3 linked regions of the Mus musculus genome follow. The protein of the gene in region 1 purifies or fractionates together with the protein of each later gene. This does not show direct contact. Links are inferred from orthologs where the notes say so. Each region holds a gene or a part of one and is shown in the gene's direction. Other genes may lie near its edges.

The links. Proteins that work in one complex are often made in the same cells at the same time.
Region 2: the proteins of Smc1a (region 1) and Cdca5 purify together in Homo sapiens (affinity purification with mass spectrometry; 7 studies listed by BioGRID and IntAct, counting the BioPlex papers as one, with this or other methods). This does not show direct contact. The link is inferred for Mus musculus from reciprocal best matches to the Homo sapiens genes SMC1A and CDCA5.
Region 3: the proteins of Smc1a (region 1) and Wapl purify together in Homo sapiens (affinity purification with mass spectrometry; 7 studies listed by BioGRID and IntAct, with this or other methods). This does not show direct contact. The link is inferred for Mus musculus from reciprocal best matches to the Homo sapiens genes SMC1A and WAPL.

Annotation. Positions count from the first base shown.
Region 1 is NC_000086.7:152,014,944-152,019,227, forward strand, and holds the start of Smc1a (structural maintenance of chromosomes protein 1A), read left to right. Parts: upstream 1-1,484; 5' UTR 1,485-1,588; coding exon 1,589-1,697; intron 1,698-1,776; exon of another isoform or gene 1,777-1,943; intron 1,944-4,284. UniProt on the Homo sapiens protein: Involved in chromosome cohesion during cell cycle and in DNA repair. Central component of cohesin complex. The cohesin complex is required for the cohesion of sister chromatids after DNA replication.
Region 2 is NC_000085.6:6,083,971-6,087,896, forward strand, and holds the start of Cdca5 (sororin), read left to right. Parts: upstream 1-1,126; 5' UTR 1,127-1,192; coding exon 1,193-1,238; intron 1,239-1,427; coding exon 1,428-1,519; intron 1,520-2,431; coding exon 2,432-2,497; intron 2,498-2,581; coding exon 2,582-2,617; intron 2,618-3,926. Other genes in the region: Zfpl1 (zinc finger protein-like 1), read right to left, coding at 1-90, 382-483. UniProt on the Homo sapiens protein: Regulator of sister chromatid cohesion in mitosis stabilizing cohesin complex association with chromatin. May antagonize the action of WAPL which stimulates cohesin dissociation from chromatin.
Region 3 is NC_000080.6:34,672,428-34,676,727, forward strand, and holds the start of Wapl (wings apart-like protein homolog), read left to right. Parts: upstream 1-1,500; 5' UTR 1,501-1,933; exon of another isoform or gene 1,934-2,241; intron 2,242-4,300. UniProt on the Homo sapiens protein: Regulator of sister chromatid cohesion in mitosis which negatively regulates cohesin association with chromatin. Involved in both sister chromatid cohesion during interphase and sister-chromatid resolution during early stages of mitosis.

The DNA of each region.
Region 1 (4,284 bases):
TGTAACTCCAGCTCCAAGGGATCTGATGCCTAATGTCTGTGGCTTGTGCACACATTTGATCACGCTTGCACTTGCACACAGTTACAAAGCCGGGCAGTGGTGGCACACACTTTTGATCCCAGCAGGTGGATCTCTGAGTTCGAGGCCAGCCTGGTCTACAGAGTTCCAGGACAGTCAGAGCTAGATGGAGAAACTTTTGAAAAAATAAAAGAAGATACCCAGGAATAGCTGTGGAAACCACCAGACTCTTTCCATATCTAACTGAAAATGGCACTAACCCCGGCCTATAAAGACAATCTGTTGTCACAATAGGGGGATGATTCAGTAGACATCCTGGGCTGCTAAGATCATGACTATAAGGTGATAGAAGGGGAATGAAAGAATGAAGAAAAAGGGGATGGAAAAGAATTGGAGAAGGACAGGGTATAAAGGAGAGAGAGGAGAGAGGAAGAGAGGGGGGAGAGAGGAGAAAAAGAGGGAGGGAGAGGGAAGGAGGGGAGAGAGAGGGGGGAGAGGGAGAGAAAGAGGGAGGGAGAGAGAGAGGTGAAGAGGTGGAAATGGGGGAAACTTGATGTAATGGAGGGAAAAGGACAGAGTTGGAGCGAGAGAGGGAGGGAGGAGAGAGGGAGAGGGAAGGAGAGGAGAGAGAGGGGAGGGGGAGAGGAAGGGAGAGAGGAGAGAGAAAGAGAAAGGGAGGGAGAGAGGAGAGAAAGGGGGAGGGAAAGAGACAGAGGGGAAGTGGTGGAAATGGGGGAAACTTGATTTAACAGGGAGGGAAAAGGACAGAGCTGGAGCACTGGCTTAAGGACCTGGACTCCTAGTGTTCACACAAGATACCTTTCTCAGTACAGAATTCCAGTTTTGAAGCTCGAAAATGGATTGGACCCAAGTTGACTCTTGGATTTACAACGGCAGTCTTTAAATTCTGCTTGGAGAAATAAGAGAGAAGCAGACGATAGGGGCAGTATTTCAGAACACAGCCTTTCCCAACTTGTATCTCTGTTGTCTAAGAGATACTCTCATCGTCCTCACACTCTAAGCTCGCCTCATCTAAGTCCTCCCTTTGATCCCTCTTCCATCCCAAACTGCCCACCCTTCCGAGGGCGCCTTCCCATTCCCGACTGAATCCTTGGCTGAAGCGCTTCTCCCCGTCTCCCCCCTTGCTGGCTAGACTACAAACCCCAGCCGAGCTTCTGCCTCCCACTAGCTCTGGCAGAACCTTGAAGTGACTTCTTTCCCAGCAAGCGTGGGCTCAGACCCCGCCTGCTTGCTCTGATTTCCCCCGAAGTGATCAGAGCACTAACGCTTCCCGTCCTAGTTGGCGGCCACTTCAACAGTTGCTGGGTAACTACGTAGAGGGGCGGGGCCTGAGCGCCCAGCGCGTGCTCCAGCCGGGCAACAATTCAACAAAAGCGCTATTTCAGGCGGAAGTGACCATTTCTGGCCCCGGAAACAGGAAATCGTGATTGGCTTGGACTTATTATCGCGAGGCTTACTGTACACCCGGCTTGCACTGCGCTATTTCCCGCGCGGGCTAACCTCGTTCCCAGGAGTAAGGCGCGGCCTTTCCTACGCCAGCGCCGCTGTCATGGGTTTCCTGAAACTGATTGAGATCGAGAACTTTAAATCGTACAAGGGTCGACAGATTATCGGACCATTTCAGAGGTTTACCGCCATCATTGGACCCAATGGCTCTGGTGAGATTAAAACCGGCTGTGGCCCTGCGCGCGTCCCGGTCCGGTTCCCCCTGCTTGTCTGCAAAGTAGTACAACCTACCCCCATGCAACCCGAGACATTGTGAACCCTGAAATGTTCCTTGATCCTCTTGGTGGGGCTTGGATCTGAACTTGCTTTCCCTTTTGGCATACACTGAACTCGAGTCTCTTCCCAACTGTCAGTTGGCGGAGTTCGGCGCAGACCCCCTCTGGCCCGAATGGTATGGGCCGAACCGTGCGTCGCCCCGCCCACTACCCCTCCCGCCAAAAGAGGCGTTCCCGAAATTTGCTGCCAGTTGTTTGGCCCGCGGCTTCCTTCCGGTCTGCATTGTTCCACCTTCCTAAACTTGTTTGACACCTCTGGGAAAATTTGGGAACCGTAACTCTGCTTTGGCGTCCGATCCCAAGCTGTGTACTTTGTGCTCTACTCAGCCCTCCCCGCACCCGCACCTCCCGATGGAACGCTCCACTCTGATTCCTTTCCCCCCCCCCCTCTCTGCTGTGGCACTTTTGAATTTCTGACCCAGCGTTCCGCTCAGCAGCGTGGGATTGCGATGCCCCCCACCCCTCCGCATGCCCCCCACACGCCTAAGAGATTGTTGCTTTGATTTGCCTTTTTCCTACCAGAAAACCGTAAATAAGCCTGAACTTGTTCGCTTGCCAAATTGGTGGAGGGTTTGGGGTTTTATCAGTTAAGTTTATGCGGGGAGAGCAAATCCGAGATCGCGGGAAAGGAGAAGCAAAGTACAAAATAAGATAACACTTAGGCCATTATAAATGTTTTGTAGAAAAGGGGTTAGGCTGATAAGTTAGAGTGACTTTGATAGTAACCCTACTTTTTCATACTTAAGCCTACTATTTCATATCTTAGTTTTTGCTGTATAGCTCGTAGTTTCCTCTCACCCATCTCTAGAAGTATTCGTTATGAATCTTTGCTGTGTTCCTCCACTCCAGAGATATTCTAGTTTACTCATTTTCTAGCCTGCTAGGCCACCCTTACCTTGAAGTAGCTCATAGCGAATACCTTCACTGGACTCTTGCTTGCGGTTTTGTTCTCTGTCTAGAGCATTGTTTCCTAACACTAGCTCTTTAGCCACACACTTTCTCTGTGCGGTTGGTTCTGTGCATTGTAGAATGTTTAGCTGTTTTCCTGACCTCTCTCCACTAAATGACAGCACCTCCACTCCCCTGAAATGCCCATCAAAAATGTGTTCGGACAATGTCAGAGTTTGGAGTGCGGGTGGGGGTGGTAATGACGGGTTACTTACTTCCCCTACTACGGTTTAAGAACCACTGGCCTAGAGGGTTGATGCTTTGAGTTCCACTAAATTTCTTAGGATTTTGGTCTTGTGACTCTTGTAGAAAATGCTTGGTTGTACCACTTGTTGAAATCGAGTTCTCTCAGCGTTGTTAGAATTAAAAATCCAGCTGTTTGGAACAGGCCTGGGTTCTTACCTCTCTATTTTTTGAGGGGGAGGGGTTGCCAGACAGGGCTTCTCTGTGTAGTCTTGACTGTCCTGGAACTTCCTCTGTAGACCAAGGTGGCCTCCATCCCACAGAGATCCACTTGCCTCTGCCTCCCTAGTGCTGGGATTAAAGGTGTGTGCCACCACTGTCCCACCTTTTGTTTGTTTGTTTGTTTTGGAGATAATTTCTTATGGCCTCAAACTCTTAAATCCTCTTGCCCCTACCTCCCAAGTGCTAGATTTATAGCTGTGTTTTACCACACCTGCTTTCTGCCTCTGCATACCCTTCAAAGCTTGGCACCATGAAGCATTTTTTGATCTCTGATTCCCACTTTGTAAATTTATTTTTGGTTACACATTTATGGTACATTTTTTTTCATCTTCATCACTAGTGCATGAGTGTTCTCAAGATGCCATTCCTTGAGATGTTTTATTGGTATATAGTTATTGTTAACATTTGCATTAGAAGAATCTTTCCAACACTTAATGACTATAGTAAAAGAGGATTGTACTTGTGAGATGTGATCCTTGAAAATCAAGGGAGAAGTCCAAAGATTGGAAATTGGTGGTTACAAGACTAATTCCAATTTATGTGATTTACTAGCTCTGCTGCAACTGGAGAGAGAGTTGACTCCAGATTGAATACTGATAGATGTGCCACTTATTGAGCACCAAGTAGATCTTGGGTTTTTGTTGTTCGTTTGTTTTTAAGATAGGATCTCATATCCCAGCCTGGTTTCAAATCTGACTTTCTGATCTTCCTGCCTCCATCTTCAGAGTGCTGGAATTACAAGTGTGTACTTCCACACCTGGTTTACTTGAGAGTTTGGGTTTGAGCTGAAGGTCTTGTGCGTGCCTGGCGAGCACACTCTCAGCTGGGTCAAGTCCCCAGCCCCACGAGGTTTATTTTTTAAGGTTTTAACAAACGAGTAGCAGAATGAAGGACTTTGGGCTTGAAGCCTGATGATACGGAGACTGTTTTGTCATCCTGTCAGTTGAAGTAAAGGACTCGCTGACAGTTTTAACTTAAGGAATGACTAGGTTTCTTCCGCTTTAAAGCAGAGGAAATACCTGTTTCCTAAGGCTTTTGGATAAGCTAAATT
Region 2 (3,926 bases), on another chromosome or scaffold:
CTCCCGACTGGCCAGGGGTGTGTTGCACAGGCGGCAATTGGGGTTGTAGTCACTATCTTGTAGCCACTGCAAGTAGGACTGCACGATGCACTGGAGTGGGAGAGAGATGTCACAACTGGTGCCCCAGGCTCCACGATGCACACACCACTCCAAGGCTCAAATGCCTCGTTTTCTCTCATCAGACTCATCATTTCATCTGTTCCATTTATTGAGTGACCATTTATTGAGCAGCTACTGAAGGCATAGCAGAGCGCATCACACCCCATGTTCTTGCCCTTGTGGAGCTTACAGTCTAGCATAGGTCCCCACATGGATTTAGAAGTAGGCAATCTTGTCTGCCCACCCACCCGCCCTGCTCAGACACTGCTCTAAACGCCCCACCTTGGCGTGATTGGCTACTAGGCAGTGCTCGCAGACGTTAACTCGGTGTTCGAAGCAGAACAGGTTCGTCACCTTCCTCTTGGGGCACTTGCAAAGTCCCATGACCGATCCTGGAGGGTGTGGTGGGGTGAAATCAGTTAGCAGGAAGCCAGGTTTTGGTGGCTGCCAGTTTGTTTTCACCAACCCAGTTCTCTTCTTTTAAATCTCTCAGTCCCGTCTCACACCAGTCCCAACACCAAATTCTAGCATAATGCCTTAGCATGGGTAAAGCCACGTCTCCTGTACAGATCGTACCACAAACGACCGACCCTTCATTCCATCAAGACCCAGGAAGGCCCTCGCCAGATCTCTGCACAGCTCCAATACCACCAGCCCCGCCCCCAAGACCCACCCCCTCTTGACCCGCCCCCAGCTGGCCGACCACATTCTGGATGTCCGCGAACCTCCGCGATGCCGATCGTGACCGGTGCGTACGGTAATGAAAAGCGCGGAAGGCCGGGGACTGAGCTCACCAACTCCGGTAGCTGCAGCTCCGCTCCCTTCAGGTCCGGCCTGATTATCCCTCCGCTGCCACGTCTCTTCCGGGTGCGGCGCACGCTGATGACGCCACAGCGCCGCAGGATACGCCTCTGCCTTTTGCTAGCTAGACGTAAAGCCTGTGACAACAAAAGCGGATGGTCCGCCTCCGGCCTGTGTCACTTCCGCTTTCTCGCTAGCAAGGCGGGCAATTTGAACGTTTGAAGCAGCAAAGTTCCCGGTTGGCGCGAGCCTGAGTAGGCGACCGCGGCGGAGACTGAGCCCGACCGTACACATGGCGGAGCGGCGAACACGATCAGGAGGGGCTGCCCAGCGGTCTGGTGAGCACGGGAGCAGTGGAGCGGGGTTGTTTGGGGAACAAAACTTGGCTCCCGGTGGAAGACGCCCCAAAGGGGTAGTTGGAAAACGACTTTTGCTTTTCCGAACTCGTCAAGCATCTTGTTTCGTTTGTTTGTCGCCTTTTCTTCGAGCAAAGTTTTGCTCACCATCAAACGTGTTTTCCTTTCCAGGGCCCAGGACTTCACTTACTAAGCCTTCGAAGTCGTCCAAGCGGAAATCTGGCTCAGATCTCCCGAACTCGTTCTCTGAAATCTGGCCGAGGGTGAGTTCCTGGTCCCCCAGGTGTTGGGGTTGGGTTTGTGCGCTGCGTATTCAGATGCTAATTTCTATGCCTAGGTATCCTTAGTCCGGCTAACTAGCACCTCCGGGCTCACTGTTGTTTTTTTTTTTTTAAATCATCTCTGATTGGTTGATAAAGAGCTGATCAGCCTATGGCTGGGCAGGAGAGGACAGAGGAGGCGGGACATCAGCGCCCATTGAGGCGTCCGGAAGAGTCTAGGGAGAGAGAAGTGGGAGAGGGGGAGGCGCGGAGAGAGCAGGTGGTTTCACTCTAAGGTCAAGAGGAGGGAGAGAGCAGTCATGAGGGCACACATGGACCAGATTGAGTCAGAGTAAGACTGAGATTCAGGTAGAGGACCGTGTGACTGGTAGATAGGCAGCCTGAGAGGGTTAGAGTAGCTCAGAACCTGCCCAACATAGTGCCAGCAGCCTTTGAATAACAGCTCTGTGTCCTTTACTCAGGAGGTAGTGGCGTTGGGGGGAAGAAATGCCCTGCAGTTATTTGGGAGCAAGGGAGTCAAAAAACTCCCGCCCAATGCTTCCACAGTTGGTGCCCAACATGGTGCAAGAACTTACAAACTTAGAACCAGGCTTAGAGGCTGAGAAGTCTTGGATAGAAGATAAGGAAAACTTTTCTCAGCAACACCCCCAAAGTACTTTTTTTTTTTTTCCTCGAGACAACGTTTCTCTGTATAGCCCTGGCTGTCCTGGAACTCACTTACTTAGTAGACCTGGCCGGCTTCGAACTCAAAGATCCACCTTCCTCTGCCTCCCAAGTGCTGGGATTAAAGGCGTGCACCACCACTGCCCGGCTCCCAAAGTACTTTTACACTGACCTAGAGGGCTTTGAACTATTGTAAAGCTCATGGATAATACTTTCTTTTACCCCCCCCAGACAACTCCAGCGGTCCCAGTCAGAAAGGCCATCGTCTTGAAGAAGATCGTAGCTCATGCAGTAGAGGTGAGGGGCTGAGAGAAGGCTTTGGGAGTGAGATGTCAAAACTGGGCTTAGCTATTGATTGATCAGTTGATGTCATCCCTACAGGTCCCAGATGTCCACACGGTTCGAAGAAGTCCTAGGGTGAGTTCAGTTCTGTTTATTTCTGTTTATTTGTGTAGGATTTACCCTTAGAGGGTAGGCATACACTTCTACCCAGGCAACTGCTTCATGGCTTGTCAGTTTAGGTCTCAGTGTATAACACTGTTTCCTGAACTGGAAGTTACGGTAGACCAGACTGGCCTCAAATTCATAGAGATCCACCTGCACCAGTCTCTGCAGATAGATTCAAATCTTAGAGATGGGCATGCTACCAGGACTGACTGTAGTTACCAGTCTTGTTTCCTGCCTATGGGTGTCATTCATTTCTTTTTTTTTTTGGGTTTTTTTGTTTTGTTTTGTTTTGTTCCCCAGAGCTGAAAACCACTGAGCTAAATCCCCAACCCCAACCCCTCATTTCTAGTTCTTTATGCTCTGAACATTCTCACTATTTTTCTTAAAAAGTTATGGTTTAACCACTGGGCTTCTGTAGACTGTTTTGCCACTGTTTTGTTGTGATGTTGTGATGGCGCACGCCTTTAGTCGCAAGATTTGGGAGGCAGAGGCAGGCGGATCTCGGAGTTTTAGGCCAGCCTGGTCCACAGAGTGATAAGGTTGTTTTGCTGAGTGTTTATTTATGTTTTGTTTGTTTGTTTGTTTGTTTTATGGTTATAGAATGAGTTATGTGTAGGGGCTGGAAAGATGGTTCTGGGTAAAAGCAGTTTTCAGATTCCATCAGATGGACCCTACACACCTACAGCTTCAGTTTGAGAGTATCCAACGCCCTCTTCCGGACACATGCATACGCAGTGTAAAAGGTGCTGGGTGCTGGTGCACACCTTTAATTCCAGCACTCAGAAGGCAGAGGCAAGTGGATCTCTTTTGACTTATAGGCTAGCTTGGTCTACAGAGTGAGTTCCAAGACAGCCAGGGTTACCTGTGGCCAAGCCTGGCCCTGAATTTAGTATGTGCGTAAAGCTGGTTTTGAATTCCTGATTTTTCAATCTCCCAAGTGTACCCAGTGGTGCTTTGCTCTCTGACCAGGGTTGTGTTGCTGGCTGGCTTTGGTACTCTTCCTGCCTGGTATTTCTCAGTGTCCTGGGAATTGCAGACGTGAGGCAAATTGCCAGTTTGATTTGTTATTCTGATGTGTGTGGTGCTGGAGATCTATCCCAGGGCAGTACTAAGCAGGTACCCTGCTGTTGAGATAATCCCAGCCATCTTGTGATGGTGGAGGTGGGTTTTCAAGTCCTAGAACTTGCTTTGAAGACCAGGCAGGCCTCAAACTCACCGAGATTCAACCCCCACCCTAGTGCTAGGGTTAAAGGCATGCACTACCCCACCTAGCTTCCCA
Region 3 (4,300 bases), on another chromosome or scaffold:
ACAATTCAAGTGTTGAAAATCCACCTTAAATTCCTATTGGGAAGTGCTCATGTTTTTTATTTTTAAGAGGGTGGCAGAAGGGAGTGCCAAGGGCATCTAACCAAGGGCATGCTGGAGAAAAACTCTACTATTAACTTATCCTCTCAGTCAGAAGTTTTTATTTTTCCTTTTTAGCTTTGTTGGAAAAATCCATTGACTACAGTGGAGGGAGCTTGAAATTTGAGGAGTCTTTAAAAGCAAATCTGGCAGAAGAGGTTGTCTTTTCACTAAAAGCAATTAGTAGTTTTCTAATTTCTCAGATGAGTCTCCATTAGCTGCAAGGCCAATGACTGACCACTCACTTCTCCTAAGGGAAACTGTTTTAGAAAGCTATTTTCTCATTGAAGGTTTAAAATAAAACCTCTCCAAGTTTCTCAACCAGGTGATTCACTGACATGAAAAAAAGTCTCTGCAGAAGAAAACTTAAAAATACTCCGTCCATCATTCACTACCTTCTTGTCCGGGACTAGTTAGTTGAAAACCCAAACCAAAACAAACAATCCGTCCCCCCCAAACCAAAACTTTATTATGAACAATTTGAGACATAAATACTGGTATGATAGCATATGTGTACATATCCCACAGCTCCAACATCGAAGGACATCCTCAGTTAATTTATTCCCTTCTTTCCCAGTTTCCAGAGGCTTAGTCTAAAACAAAATAAACGTATTGGATCATTTTACCTATCAACACTTTAGTGTGTGTGTGTGTGTGTGTGTGTGTTTTAAATTTAAAGCCACATTACCGTAAGCACGTTCGATAAGGATGACGATAATTCCTTAGTAACATAAAATACTCGGGGAGCGGGGGTGGGGTGGGGGTGTGGGGTGTCATTGCTAACAGGTAGGGGACAGAACTCCGTAGTGGGGACTGAACAAGAAAGGAGAGAGAGGATGAAGTGGCCGGCTGAAGCGGATCCCGGCTGCGAGGAGACCAGCACCCGACTGCTCCAGGTTTCGCTGCTCGTTTACCTGCGTTGGCTCTCTCGCACCGTCAGACCAGGTCAAAGGCGGCCCCAAGTTCCCCGCCTCCAAGGTCCGGGCGGTGGCCCAGCAGGCTCGGCGCAGCTGCACAAGTCTCTGTCCCTAGACACCGGAGGGTCCCTGGAGGGGAAACGATTGACACAGCTGCCTGCACTGTGCCGCGAGCCTTCCCGCGCTGCACCTGCGTCTCGTCGCGTGGCTAGGAACTGGGACTGGCTCCGGAGTCGGTGAAGTCCAGCAGGCCCTTAGCCAGAACCTATACCGTTCGCCAGCTCCGGAACCGGGCTTTAGACACCAGGACCTTGCGGAAGAGAGAACTACAACTCCCGTCGGGCCACGCGGTCCGACCAATGGTGGTAGCCGGCGCGTGCGGGGCGCGGCGCCTGCGCGGCGGTTTGAGTAAGAGGCCGTACGATTGGCTGCGGAGTCGGGCGGCCGCGCGGGGCCTGTGGGAAGCGGAGTGACGGAGCGAGCGGCTGTTGGAGGAAGGAGGTGGGGGGCCGGGAGCGCAAATGGCGTTGAGATGGTTCAGGGCCCTGTTCAAACTCCAGCGCTGACCATTCACCGGCGGAGGCGGCGGCGCAGAAGGCGGCGGCGGCCCAGCGGGGGCACGTAGCGGGCTCGGCACCGGCGGCGGCCGCCAGGGAGGCCTAGGCCCTGTCCGGCCGGCGCGCCTGAGGTGGGGAGGGAAGTTGCGGGGCCGCCGCTCACCCCCCACCCCCCCTGTCGCCCGAGCTTCCTATTTACCGAAGCGGAGCCGCGGACTGTGACGGCAGCAGAGCCCCTCGCCCCTCTCGGTGGCACCGGTCGGCACTGGTCTCTCGCGCGGGGCTCCCGCGCCCGCCCGCGGGCCGTTGGGAGCCGGAGAGGCGGAGGCGGCCCGAGGCCAAAGCACCCGCCAGGCGCCGAGGGTAAGTGAGGTCTCGGGCGGCTGCCTAGGCCCGGAGTGAGTTGGGGCGGGTGGAGGCGGCAGGGGCGGCGCGAGGCTCGTTGCTCACCTGGCTTCTAAGGAAGTTGGGCACCGGAGGATCGCAAGAAACTCTTTCCCTTCCCACCTCTTAATTTTGCCTTTTGAGTTCTTCTCCGGCTACTTGATTTGACTTCTCTTTTCCAAACCCGGTCCGGTTGATTTGAGTCCCGAATTCTTTTTCCCCGTCGTCTCCTCCGCCTCTAGCCGTCACCGAGAGGCCTTGCTTCGGGGACTCGGTAGCAGAAGCTTCCGGGGCGTCCGAAGCGACATCCCTTTCCTAGGCTGTGGGGGTTGGGAGGAGAAAAGTTGCGTGAGTGTCCAGCCCGAGGGGTGTCTCGGCTCCAGCCTCCGGGCGCACTCGCAGCCTCAGGTGAGGGTTTCTGTTTGCCCATTCCACTCTCCTCTCTTTATTGAAGCCCCCCTAATGCATTACCTTGGGTGTCTTTCCTGGAAGTGGCTAGGTTTCTTTACAGCTTCAGTGTAAGGAGGTTGGTTGGTTGTTTTGTATACCCTTTCCCTAATTTAAATCGCAGTGCACTTCCATCAAAAGTCAGCTGGGCTTTGGGATGAAGCGAAGGCCTCCCAAATCGAAAACAATCAGTTGTGAACCTTCTTTTCCTTTTTAGTTAGGACTGTTGGTGAAATTTGAAGCCAGAACAAGATAGTGTGTCTGAAATGTGCGTAAAACGTCATGCCAAATATATATGCTGAATTTGTACATATGTTAAGCTTAGATAATGCCATCGCAGTAGTCTGCTGACTTTTTAAAATGGACGTTATGGAAAACAGTAAAAGCAATCACGTAACTCTTGTACTCATATCTCCTGGATTCTGTACATAATAACTCAACCATATTTTCTAATCAGTACGCTCCCCATTCCTTAATATTAAAAAAATCACTGATATTTCATCAATATTTAATGATGTTAATACATCAGCGAATATTTCTGAGACGTGATCTTTTAAAAATACAGTTGTCTTATTACTTAGCTCAGTATCATATATTCATTTGCAGATCTTAATCTTGCACAGTGAATGCTTTACTGTTTTTTACGGTGAGTTTTTCAGATGTCATAAAGAAGATCAAGTCTAGATTTTTTTTTTTTTTTGGCTTTAGTCAGCATTTTTAGATGATTGCCATGTATGTGTGCCCAAAACATTCCAACTTTGTTGGAATGTATATATGTGTGTAGGTCTGCGTGTCTGTAGTCAGCTTAAAGAAATGACTTTTCTTGCCTTTGGCAGCTGCCCAATTACACTTGGTTTTGTTTAATAGGCTATACTTAACAAGAAAGACAATGAAGCTTGTTAGTGTTCAGAACTACAAAATGGAAACTCTCTGAGGAAAGCTAAAATTTCTTTTAGCACAGATGTGTACGATGACTAAATTATTATTTTATCTGATCAGAGTTGTTTTCCTTTCAAACATTAGGGTGGTGGTGAGTTGTCTTCTGAATATTTGCTGAACTAAATTGGATAGTGATTCGTTAAGTTATAAGAACTTAATAGAAATACTAAAAGTGTAGCTCAAAAATATTTGAAAATATAAGTTAAATATTATTCTTATTGTAAGTTTCCAAGTAATGAAGATTTTCCAAGCCCTTAAGTAATTGCTTACCTTCCCCCTAGAATTGATAAATTGATATTTAAACTGCAGAAGGCCAAAGTGTTAAGAAATGGATAATGATTGATTGTGCTATAAAAGCACTATACCTTATATTTTTTAAAGTGTTTGATTTTTTTTTTTGACTTTTCTTGTAAAATTTTTTCAGTATATTTTTGGGTAAATCAGGTAAATGAGTTTGTAAATTGAAGAGGAAAATCAAGGCTATATATTTCTATTTTATAATAATAAATCATGTACCTTTGTAAAATGGAGTTCTCCAACTTCAGAAAGATGTTACTCAGCAATGAGATACAGGAAGTAGAAGAATGGTTTCTTGAGTTTAGGGAGATGACCATTGAAGGAGCTTTTTAAAGTCAGTTAAAATCACTTTAGTCTAAGAATCAGAATCTTTAAGCTTGGGTAGAAGCTACAGATTGTACTCTATGAGAAAATAAGTTTTTCTAACCCTTTATGAGGAGCTGTAAAAATGTCAAAGAACTAAGTTTGGCCAACTGACATTGTTTAGATCCTGGAAAACTTAATATATTGTGACTAAAGATTTTGTTTTTGGGTGTTTACACTATTCTGATTAAGTTGTGTATGAAGATATGGAATTTGCATGTTTTAAGTTAGATTTGTAGGTATTGCATTGTGAGTTGGTTAGTAGTAAGCTTTTTTTTTTTAAACATTGTAAGTTTCATA